Caenorhabditis elegans: one gene and its partner. The protein of the gene in region 1 purifies or fractionates together with the protein of each later gene. This does not show direct contact. Each region holds a gene or a part of one and is shown in the gene's direction. Other genes may lie near its edges. The genes, in order: mlc-3 and myo-1.

The links.
Region 2: the proteins of mlc-3 (region 1) and myo-1 purify together in Caenorhabditis elegans (affinity purification with mass spectrometry; 2 studies listed by BioGRID, with this or other methods). This does not show direct contact.

Annotation. Positions count from the first base shown.
Region 1 is NC_003281.10:5,562,837-5,567,565, forward strand, and holds mlc-3 (Myosin, essential light chain), read left to right. Parts: upstream 1-2,188; 5' UTR 2,189-2,295; coding exon 2,296-2,314; intron 2,315-2,484; coding exon 2,485-2,696; coding exon of another isoform or gene 2,697-2,738; exon of another isoform or gene 2,739-2,980; intron 2,981-3,837; coding exon 3,838-4,021; intron 4,022-4,075; coding exon 4,076-4,122; 3' UTR 4,123-4,171; downstream 4,172-4,729. Other genes in the region: rpc-2 (DNA-directed RNA polymerase subunit beta), read left to right, coding at 1-66, 1,670-1,843.
Region 2 is NC_003279.8:7,263,886-7,269,091, reverse strand, and holds the start of myo-1 (Myosin-1), read left to right. Parts: upstream 1-2,034; 5' UTR 2,035-2,156; coding exon 2,157-2,225; intron 2,226-2,805; coding exon 2,806-3,078; intron 3,079-3,455; coding exon 3,456-3,798; intron 3,799-3,850; coding exon 3,851-3,955; intron 3,956-4,007; coding exon 4,008-4,175; intron 4,176-4,222; coding exon 4,223-5,206. UniProt on the Caenorhabditis elegans protein: Muscle contraction.

The DNA of each region.
Region 1 (4,729 bases):
CTCATTGCCTATGGAGCATCGATGCTGCTTATTGAGCGTTTGATGGTGTCATCAGATGAGTTTAAGGTAAATTCCCTTACCGAGTTTTTTTTAAAAGTTTGCTACTTTTGTGTGTGTGCGCGCAATTTTTGCTCATCATTACACTAGCCGTAACACTCTCAAGTGGTTCTTTTTTGCGAAAATGAGGAGCGAAACTGTTGCGGGAGAGACTGGGAGAAGCCTTGCGTGGGTTGACTTTGCGGGTCGACTTTTCTTGGAAACTGGGTTGACGTTTTTTGGAAAGGTTCTTGAAAATTTTTGATTTACCGCAGAGAAAATTATGGATTTTGTTTGATCATGAGAGAATACATTTCCCGACTTTTATCTGAAAATATCGAAAAAAAAGGTCGGAAACCGATTATTAATTTTTTTTTGAACTCCCACTTTTTTATAAGAACAGAGAAATCGATTTTAAAAAAAGCATTTTCCCTAAAAACTTTTTAAAAAAAGCAAAACTTTCTATTTTAATGGCTCTGAATCTCTGTTGCTCGGAAGTTAAAAAAAATCAAATTTTCGGTGCTATTCGAGCAAGATCCATTCCCAAATAAAAAAAATCTCTCACAATTCAGCGATATTTCGGAGTTTTTGAGAACATTTTTTACTAAAACCGCCTTTTCTTAGTACAGTCGTACCGAAAATAATATTTTCTGCACCTGTCCCAGGTGGCAAACAAGAATCAGAGATCTAAAGACTTGGAAGTGAACCTCACATTAAGATCCCTCCAGGAAACCTTCGGAGCTCTCGTCTTGATTCGCTTCTTCCTTCCTACTTTTCGTTTTTTTTTGCCCACAAAATAGTCATCGAAGAAGAAGAAGAAAAGATGAGATTTTTGCCCCGATGCGAGATGCCTGGTGAATAGTGTGATCTTCGTGGAGAGATGTCTCGCTGATCTCTCCTTGATTGCCATTTCACTATATCTTCCACCCCGAAGTCTGTGGACTCCACTGATCTCCGCATCTCTCGTCATTGAGTAAAAGCATTGGCAGAAGAGAGAACAGAAGAAGGAGGAATAAGAAGGAAGAGATATCTCCACAGTGGGTGCCTGTGCTTTTTCTTCCCGTCGGCTGTGCTCCTAGGAGTGGAATGCCGAGAAAATGTGCGATTGAAGTGGCACGCGGGGAGGATAGAGAAAGAAAATAAAGATATTGAAAGGGAGAATAGAGAAACATACGTTTACAACGAATTAATCGAGTTCGGCAGCCAACACGGGAAAAATGAACTTGTGAAGATGTGTTAAAACACAAAGATCTTATTAATTATTGAAGAGGGAGGAAATAAAATAAATTAACATTTCGAGCATTGGGGTACTGTAGACCTATTCCGTAAACAGAGAAACAAAATGGTTTAGCAGAATTCGCGGACTGAGGCGAGAGGCAGGCGGAGGTTGCCTTAAGGTCAGGCAGGCAAGCGTTTTAATGCAAAAGTAATGGATACTTGTTGAGCCTTATAATAATGTGTCGATATTAAAAAACACAAGTATGGATTTTTAACATAAAAAAGTTAAAAGACGCATGCTTAAATATTTTATAGGATAATTTGGTACTCCTTAAAACTCAGTTTGTATAAAAAAACGATTCGATGAGAGTATAATAGATTTCCAATGTAACTTAATAAATTTCTTGTTTTCCAGGTCGACGTGTGCACTGGATGCGGAGTAATCGGCTCGAAGGGTTGGTGCCAAAAGTGTCGTTCGAGCAAGTCAATGGCGAACATTAAGATTCCGTATGCGTGTAAGCTGCTCTTCCAGGAACTTCAATCCATGAACATTGTCCCGAGGCTGGACTTGGCCAGATACACCGAATAACCTTGTTTTGTAATTGTTGTTGTTGTTGTTATGCTTCTTCTTTCCCCTTCCCAAATCATTTTTTAATCTATTTTTTACTTGTTCCCCGAAATTTGAACATTTTTTGTTGTTTTTTTTGTCATACATTCATTCTTAAACTTATCATGAAAATTTTCTAGAAAATACTTGTTGAAACAGTACGCCGCGCTTTCTCGCTCTCACATCCCACATCTCGCCACTCTATCTCTTGAGCATTACATCCCTCTCTCTATCTCTCGGGCTCCCGAGGGGTGAAATAGTGTACTCGCGCGGGAGTGCGGGAGCTCAATATCCGCCCCAATCCGCCCCCATCCTCTACGAAGAGTCACACACAGTTTACACTTGGGTTGCCACTGCTCTGTCGCCTTCACTCAGTTTCCACACTCAGTCCCCCCTGCTCTGCCGCCGCTGCAACACTCACACATCATCACATAATGGCTCCACCATCCCAAGGTGAGTAATTTTTTAAGCAATGTCCCCAGCTCTTAGGGATACCTTATAAGGTTTTAGGACTTCTAAAACATTTTATTTTTAGTTTTTTTTTAATGTTTCAAAAATATATCCAATTCCCCAAATATATCCCTACAATCCCAAACATTTTTTCAAACTTGAAATCGTTCTAGACGTGCTCAAGGAGATCTTCAACCTCTACGATGAGGAGCTTGACGGCAAGATCGACGGAACCCAAGTCGGAGATGTCGCCCGCGCCGCCGGACTTAAGCCAACTCAGGCTATGGTGACAAAGGCCGCCGGACAGGAGTTCAAGCGTAAGGGAGAGAAGAGACTTACATTCGAGGAGTGGCTCCCGATGTACGAGCAACTCGCCAAGGAGAAGGTACGGTATTTTAAACATCTTGCCTGTGCCTTTAACCTTTAGCTGAGAGTTTTTTGAGATTTAGGGATCTAGGGGCCTCGCGCCAAACCTTTAACTCCCGCACCGAGTGATAATCAAACAAAGAAGATGAAGCTTGAGATTTGTTTTATTTCAAGGTCTAAGTAAATATTGGATCTCAGAGGTTAACCCCATACAGTACCCCTAGCCGAAAACTTTTAAATCACAACTAAGGGTCTGAAAAATCTGAACATCCTCTTCCACCGGCACATGCCAGCCGATCCCTAGAACTTTAGAGAGATAGGCGGCGGCGGCTCCCGTGAAGCATGTGTGGGAGAGGAGCACATAGGACTCTCGAGAATCTCTCTTGGCACACACAAACACACACATAGGCACAGTGTAACAATAGAGAGCATCATCATTCTGCGTCTACTGGGTCCTTGTTGTAGATATTTGTATGGATAGGAAGTAGTAAGGAATAGGCAAGGGATCTTGAGTAAGGATCCCCATATACGGGTAAAAGAATGGAGTGAGTATATATGAAGCTTCTAGGAGCTATTGAGTTTTGGAAAGAGCTGCCAGCTCAGACTATTTAGTGGAGGTTTAAGGTAAAAAATCCTGTAGATCTTTGATTGAATTCAACTAGGGCATTCTCTGGACCCACAACCGTCAGTATTTTGAAAGCTTTAAGGCAACCAGTTTCTTAGAAAAGATTCAAAACAGCACATGGAGATCTTGAAGAGCCAATAGAAACCTACGAACTGAGCTCAGAAGACTGGACAACTCATAAAGTTTGAAATAGCAAGTTTGGCCAGATATTTTGGGAAACACATTTCGCTTTCGTTATTAAATAGTCTGCGAAGTTTACCTGAGCACATATCTACTCAAATTTGACAATCTGAAAGTCAGTGTCTAACGAATTTTGGATAGAATCCTAAGCGAAAATCAGAGAGTTCTCTGGAGCTTCGGGATGGAATTAGCTGATGTTCGAGGTTACTGTCACCTGAATAGGGAATGATTTATGTTTACTGGAGTTAGATGCCTACCTTAGGGTCCGCATGTAGAGCAGATCATCATTCATTTAACATTGAGATTATAAACTGAGAAAATTGTTCTTTCCAATATAAATTTCCAATTTCTTCAGGAGCAAGGAACCTACGCTGACTTCTACGAGGGACTCAAGGTGTTCGACAAGGAGGAGACTGGAAAGATCTTGGCCGCTGAGCTCAGACACATCCTCTTGGCTCTCGGTGAGAGACTTTCCGCCGATGAGGCCGATGAGCTCCTCAAGGGAGTCGAAGACGGAGAAGGCATGGTCAAGTACGAGGGTAAGCCGATTTTTTTTCTTCTCGGAAATTTTTTTTAATTGAAATTTATTTCAGATTTCATCAAGAAGGTTTTGGCCGGACCATTCCCAGACCAGGACTAAATTTTTGGATCTGAATCTGTGCTACACCCATTATAATGTTTAAATTTTGAAAAAAAAAACACCATCTTCTCTTACCCAAATTTTTTGCTCCCCTTTCCCTTCTCTGCCTTCTTTCTCCCCGTTCCAAATAACGATGTTTTACTTTTTTGTCTATAAACCCATCGTCTAGTCGCTCGTTTTCTTCTACGCTATACACGTAAGAGATTCCACTCGCGTGCGCGCATTCCGTTTTCTGATCCAGAAAACGTTTTGCACTTTAAAAATCAGCGCGCGGTTTTCTCTTCTTTTTCTCCAACACATTCAAGCCTGTTTCTATGATCAAGAAATTTTCTTTCTTTCTTCATTTTACACTTTTTTATTCAGAAATTCATTCGTTTCTTATATTCGTTCTCCTTTTTGGATTATAATAAAAAACCTTTTGAATAATTATGAAATGGAAATTTTGGTATAGTACATGTAGTAAGTTGAAAGGCTGCTAGAAATATCAGCTTTTGAGTCGATGACCTGATAAAAACAAACTGCCAGTTTGATTTTTATCAATTGATTTATTTTCCGTCTACTGTGCAAGAACGGTAGCTTCCAAAAAATAAGAAATTGCCAAATTATT
Region 2 (5,206 bases), on another chromosome or scaffold:
GTAGAAAATAGTAAATTGACAGCATATTGAGCGCAGTCATTAAACAGTGGCATTCTCTGGTAAAGGTTAAAGTGGGAATAGACTCAAAAAGGTCTTAAACTAACTAATTTCATTATTCTTTAAAAAATATCGAAAATGTTGGGAATATTTTTGCCATCAGAATCCTTTTTGCATATATATTTATTGTAATTTTTTAATTAACTTATCCTTTGAATTTTTTAAGAAAAAATTCTGAAACAACATTTTCTAGTAGATCAGCAATACTTACAAGGAAAAAGAATGGTACATGTCACAGAAATCTTAGAAATTTCGAGAGTCTTCTTAAAAGTTTTTAGAAACTTTAATTTTTTATTTCAATTTGCTGAGAAACAAACTAATTCAACTTTTCGTGTTTCCAGACTGTTAACTAGGAGAAAATGATTTCAATTCTTGGTCGATGTACATACTTGATCGGTGTTCCCGTGTTCACTTTGAATTTCAGGGGGTGGCCCCGAGAACAAAGATGAATAAGAGGAGCGAAAATCTCAAAAAGAAACAGACACACACACATTTACGCACACACATACAAATACTGTGTGAGAGATATAGATGGGGGAGAAATTGGGCAAATATTACTATTAGAAAAACGAGAAAAATTCGAAGAAAAGGCGAGCGGAGGATGCGCAGAAGTATCCGAGTGTGGGATGGGGGAGCAAAGACATGGCACAAAAAAGTCGAGAGATTCGGTGAAACTTCCTTCACCAATGCCACTTGGTCTCTCATCATTATTACAACACATTTTTGGAGAGAATGGATATGAAAGTTAGGTTAAGCTACAAAAAAAACGTTATTTGCAACAGTTAAAAAAACAGGTTTCTCAAACAATCTATAACTAATAATCTGAAAAGTTAATTCCTAGCTGGGAGACTAATATCTGATCAGCACATAATATGTCCAGAGAGATCTTCGCAGCAGTGATATTGTGGCACACATCCCCAACGAAGTCGGCCACAATGTGCCAAACGCGCCTCGCAGTGAGTGCATTGCGGATGCTCGTTTTCGTGAAACACATATCGTACCGGTCCTCAATCGAAATGAGTATGCGCACATCGCGAATGAACTATGCGAATACAAAATAGTGATTTTTAAATGAAAACGTTAAGGTTGAATATCATGGTTTGACAAAAAAAATAAATACTTATAAAATTGCTTGAGGTATTAAGGTACACTATATTGAATATTATTTGGCAGCACAGTTTCTATATAACATTTTCTCATGTTAAATTTTTTGATGGATTTCTGAATTTTAATGTAGACAAATGTTTTCAACGACAAAGCATCCAACTTTGAATGTACTTCAAAGAACACGATGGAAGCAAAAATATTTTTTTAAACTCAAAACGTCGCTTTTTTTAAAATTTTTCTAAATAATTGTGTCCAAATCCGATTTAGATCTATTATTATTATTCGGATTTCTTACACAGTATTCATTAATGTTCTAATAGTGTTGTTTCTAATAATAAAATAAGACCAGTTTGCTGGTCCAGGTTACTGAAATCACTGATTCCAATTTTTTATACAAATATAAGTAAACTAAGAATGAATCCCTTAATTTTTTTTCTACATTTTTTTATCTACTCCCACAAGTTCCAAGCGCTTACTCTCAAAAATCTCTTACGTATGTCTCTATCCAATAATAATGTGTGCTCAAAAAAGCGCGGGCTCATTCCGAAAGAACCCCCTCCTCTGATTTTTTCAACAAGTTCTACAGTAATCTCTTCGTTTCTCAATTTAACATACTCTTTCGATGAACCTGAAAGATAAAGTACTTGGACTGGCGACGCAAAAGCTCAAAACGTATGGACAATGCACATCCAAGAGACGTTTGATGCTCTCGGCAACAGTTCATTGTGTGGATATCGGAGAGCCCCCTTTCTTGCGCACGGGCGCTAAGCAAGAGAGGAAGATGAGGGGGAGTTTGAGTTGCTCCGCCCTATGAAGTGTGCCGAGTGAAGCTCTCTCTTGTGTGTGCCAAACTATTATCCGTCCCTGCAGAGCACAGTAGTGTGGAGCTGTGTGCAGTGCAGCAGTAGGAAGAAAAAGAAGAAGTCACCCACCTGTTTAGCCTCATTTTTCAATTAGCCGTTCGTTTTAATTTCCACTGAAACAAATCAAGAATGTCGCTCGAACACGAGAAGGACCCAGGATGGCAGTACCTGAAAAGGTCGAGAGAGCAACAGCTCGCGGTAAGATTTTACTTCTTTCATTTTACTTTCTACTTTTTCCTAGGTTTACATTCGACGTATTTTTTCTCCTCATAAATCCTAATCTTCTCAAATTCCAAAATATTCGAAATTTATCTGAAGTCGCTGCTTTTTATACACTTCTAATAACGAATTGTTCCTTCAGTTTTGAACCTAATAAAATACCGTATTTTCCCAATTTGTCCTTCTCTCGACAAATAATATTTCATCTATTTTGAGTATAGAAACAATTCAATTTAATTTTCCAACTAGAACAAGATTCAATCTTTATTTTACTTGTTGAATATGTTCTGATAAACTTTAAAATGAAACTTTTTCAATTACAATAGAGTTATTTTAAAGTGGTTAAGTGAGCATTTTTACAGCAAAATATTAAAAATTGTTTCTTGGCTACTTTTTTAAACATATTTTCAAGGTTCAATCTCTTAAAATTCTTACCGGTTTTTCGGTAGATCGTTATTTTTAAAGCTTCTAAACTTCACCGTTTTGATATTTAGGATAATAATTATTTTATAACTATGTATGAATATAAATTAATTTTTATATTTTTTTTATTTTACAGGATCAATCCCGCCCATACGATTCGAAGAAGAACGTCTGGATTCCAGATGCCGAAGAAGGATACATTGAGGGAGTTATTAAGGGTCCAGGACCAAAGGCCGATACTGTTATCGTTACCGCCGGAGGCAAAGATGTAACTTTGAAGAAGGATATCGTTCAAGAAGTCAATCCACCAAAGTTCGAGAAAACCGAAGACATGTCCAACTTGACTTTCCTTAATGACGCCTCCGTTCTGTGGAATTTGCGTTCCCGTTACGCTGCTATGCTTATCTATGTAAGTTTTTTCAGTTTCAAAAAACTTCAAATAGAAACACGGAAAAAAGATCTGCGAAAATGCGTAGTTGGATAGGCAAATAGTGCGCCCACGCAAAAGTGGCAAAATGCTATCTTAAGTGGATCGAGACAGACGATGAGAAACAAAGAGAGTCATGCTCAATGTGCACAGTGAGTAAAGAGAAAATTTATATTGGAATTTTGGACTGAAATTGGAATGGTACTAAAAATATGTGATTCAACAAAGGCAGTATTGAGAATATAAAAATATCGTTCCAAAAAATAACTAAATTTGAATACTACTGAAATTTAAAGAAGTAAGTTCTATAAAAATGGGATATTGACTGAAACAAAATGTTCCAATTTGCCCATTTTCAGACCTACTCTGGACTTTTCTGCGTTGTCATCAACCCATACAAACGTCTCCCAATTTACACTGACTCTGTTGCTCGTATGTTCATGGGCAAGCGTCGTACCGAGATGCCACCTCATTTGTTCGCTGTCTCTGATCAAGCCTACCGTTACATGCTTCAAGACCATGAGAATCAGTCTATGCTTATTACCGGAGAATCTGGAGCCGGAAAGACTGAAAACACAAAGAAGGTTATTTGCTACTTTGCCACCGTCGGAGCTTCACAAAAGGCTGCTTTGAAGGAGGGAGAGAAGGAAGTTACCCTTGAAGACCAGATCGTTCAAACCAATCCAGTATTGGAAGCTTTCGGTACAGACATAAATTAAAAAATTAACACTTGTCTGATAATTTGGTTGTTTAGGTAACGCCAAGACTGTCCGTAACAACAATTCTTCCCGTTTCGGAAAGTTCATCCGTATTCACTTCAACAAGCACGGAACTCTTGCTTCCTGCGATATTGAACACTGTAAGTTGATAATAATGATAAGAAGTTATTACGAAAATCGTAAATTGTTCAGATCTTCTCGAGAAATCTCGTGTCATCCGTCAAGCTCCAGGAGAGCGTTGTTACCATATCTTCTACCAAATCTACTCAGATTTTAAGCCACAACTCCGTGACGAGCTTCTTCTCAACCATCCAATTTCCAACTATTGGTTTGTTGCTCAAGCTGAGTTGCTCATTGATGGTATGTTTTGTATTTCTGGAGAATGAGATTAACTTGTTTTATTCCAGGAATCGATGACACTGAGGAGTTCCAATTGACCGACGAGGCCTTTGATGTTCTCAAATTCTCGCCCACCGAGAAGATGGATTGTTATAGACTCATGTCGGCTCACATGCACATGGGTAACATGAAATTCAAGCAACGCCCACGTGAGGAGCAAGCCGAGCCAGATGGCCAAGATGAAGCTGAGAGAGCTTGTAACATGTACGGAATTGATGTCGATCAATTCCTTAAGGCTTTGGTGTCTCCAAGAGTCAAGGTCGGAACCGAATGGGTATCCAAGGGACAGAACGTTGATCAAGTTCACTGGGCTATTGGAGCCATGGCTAAGGGGTTATACGCTCGTGTCTTCCACTGGCTTGTCAAGAAATGTAATCTTACTCTTGATCAAAAGGGAATTGATCGTGATTATTTCATCGGAGTACTCGATATTGCTGGATTCGAAATCTTCGACTTCAATTCCTTCGAACAGCTCTGGATTAACTTCGTCAACGAAAAACTCCAACAATTCTTCAACCATCACATGTTCGTTCTTGAGCAGGAAGAGTACGCCCGTGAAGGAATCCAATGGACATTCATTGATTTCGGACTTGATCTCCAAGCTTGTATCGAGCTTATTGAGAAGCCACTCGGTATCATCTCTATGCTTGATGAGGAGTGTATTGTTCCAAAGGCTACTGACATGACTCTTGCCCAGAAGCTTACCGATCAACATCTTGGAAAGCATCCAAACTTCGAAAAGCCAAAACCACCAAAGGGAAAGCAAGGAGAGGCTCACTTCGCCATGCGGCATTACGCCGGAACTGTCCGTTACAACGTGTTGAACTGGCTCGAGAAGAACAAGGATCCTCTCAACGACACCGTTGTCTCCGTCATGAAGGCTTCGAAGAAGAACGACCTTCTTGTCGAAATCTGGCAAGATTACACCACCCAAGAAGAAGCTGCTGCCGCCGCTAAGGCCGGAGGTGGTCGCAAGGGAGGAAAGTCTGGAT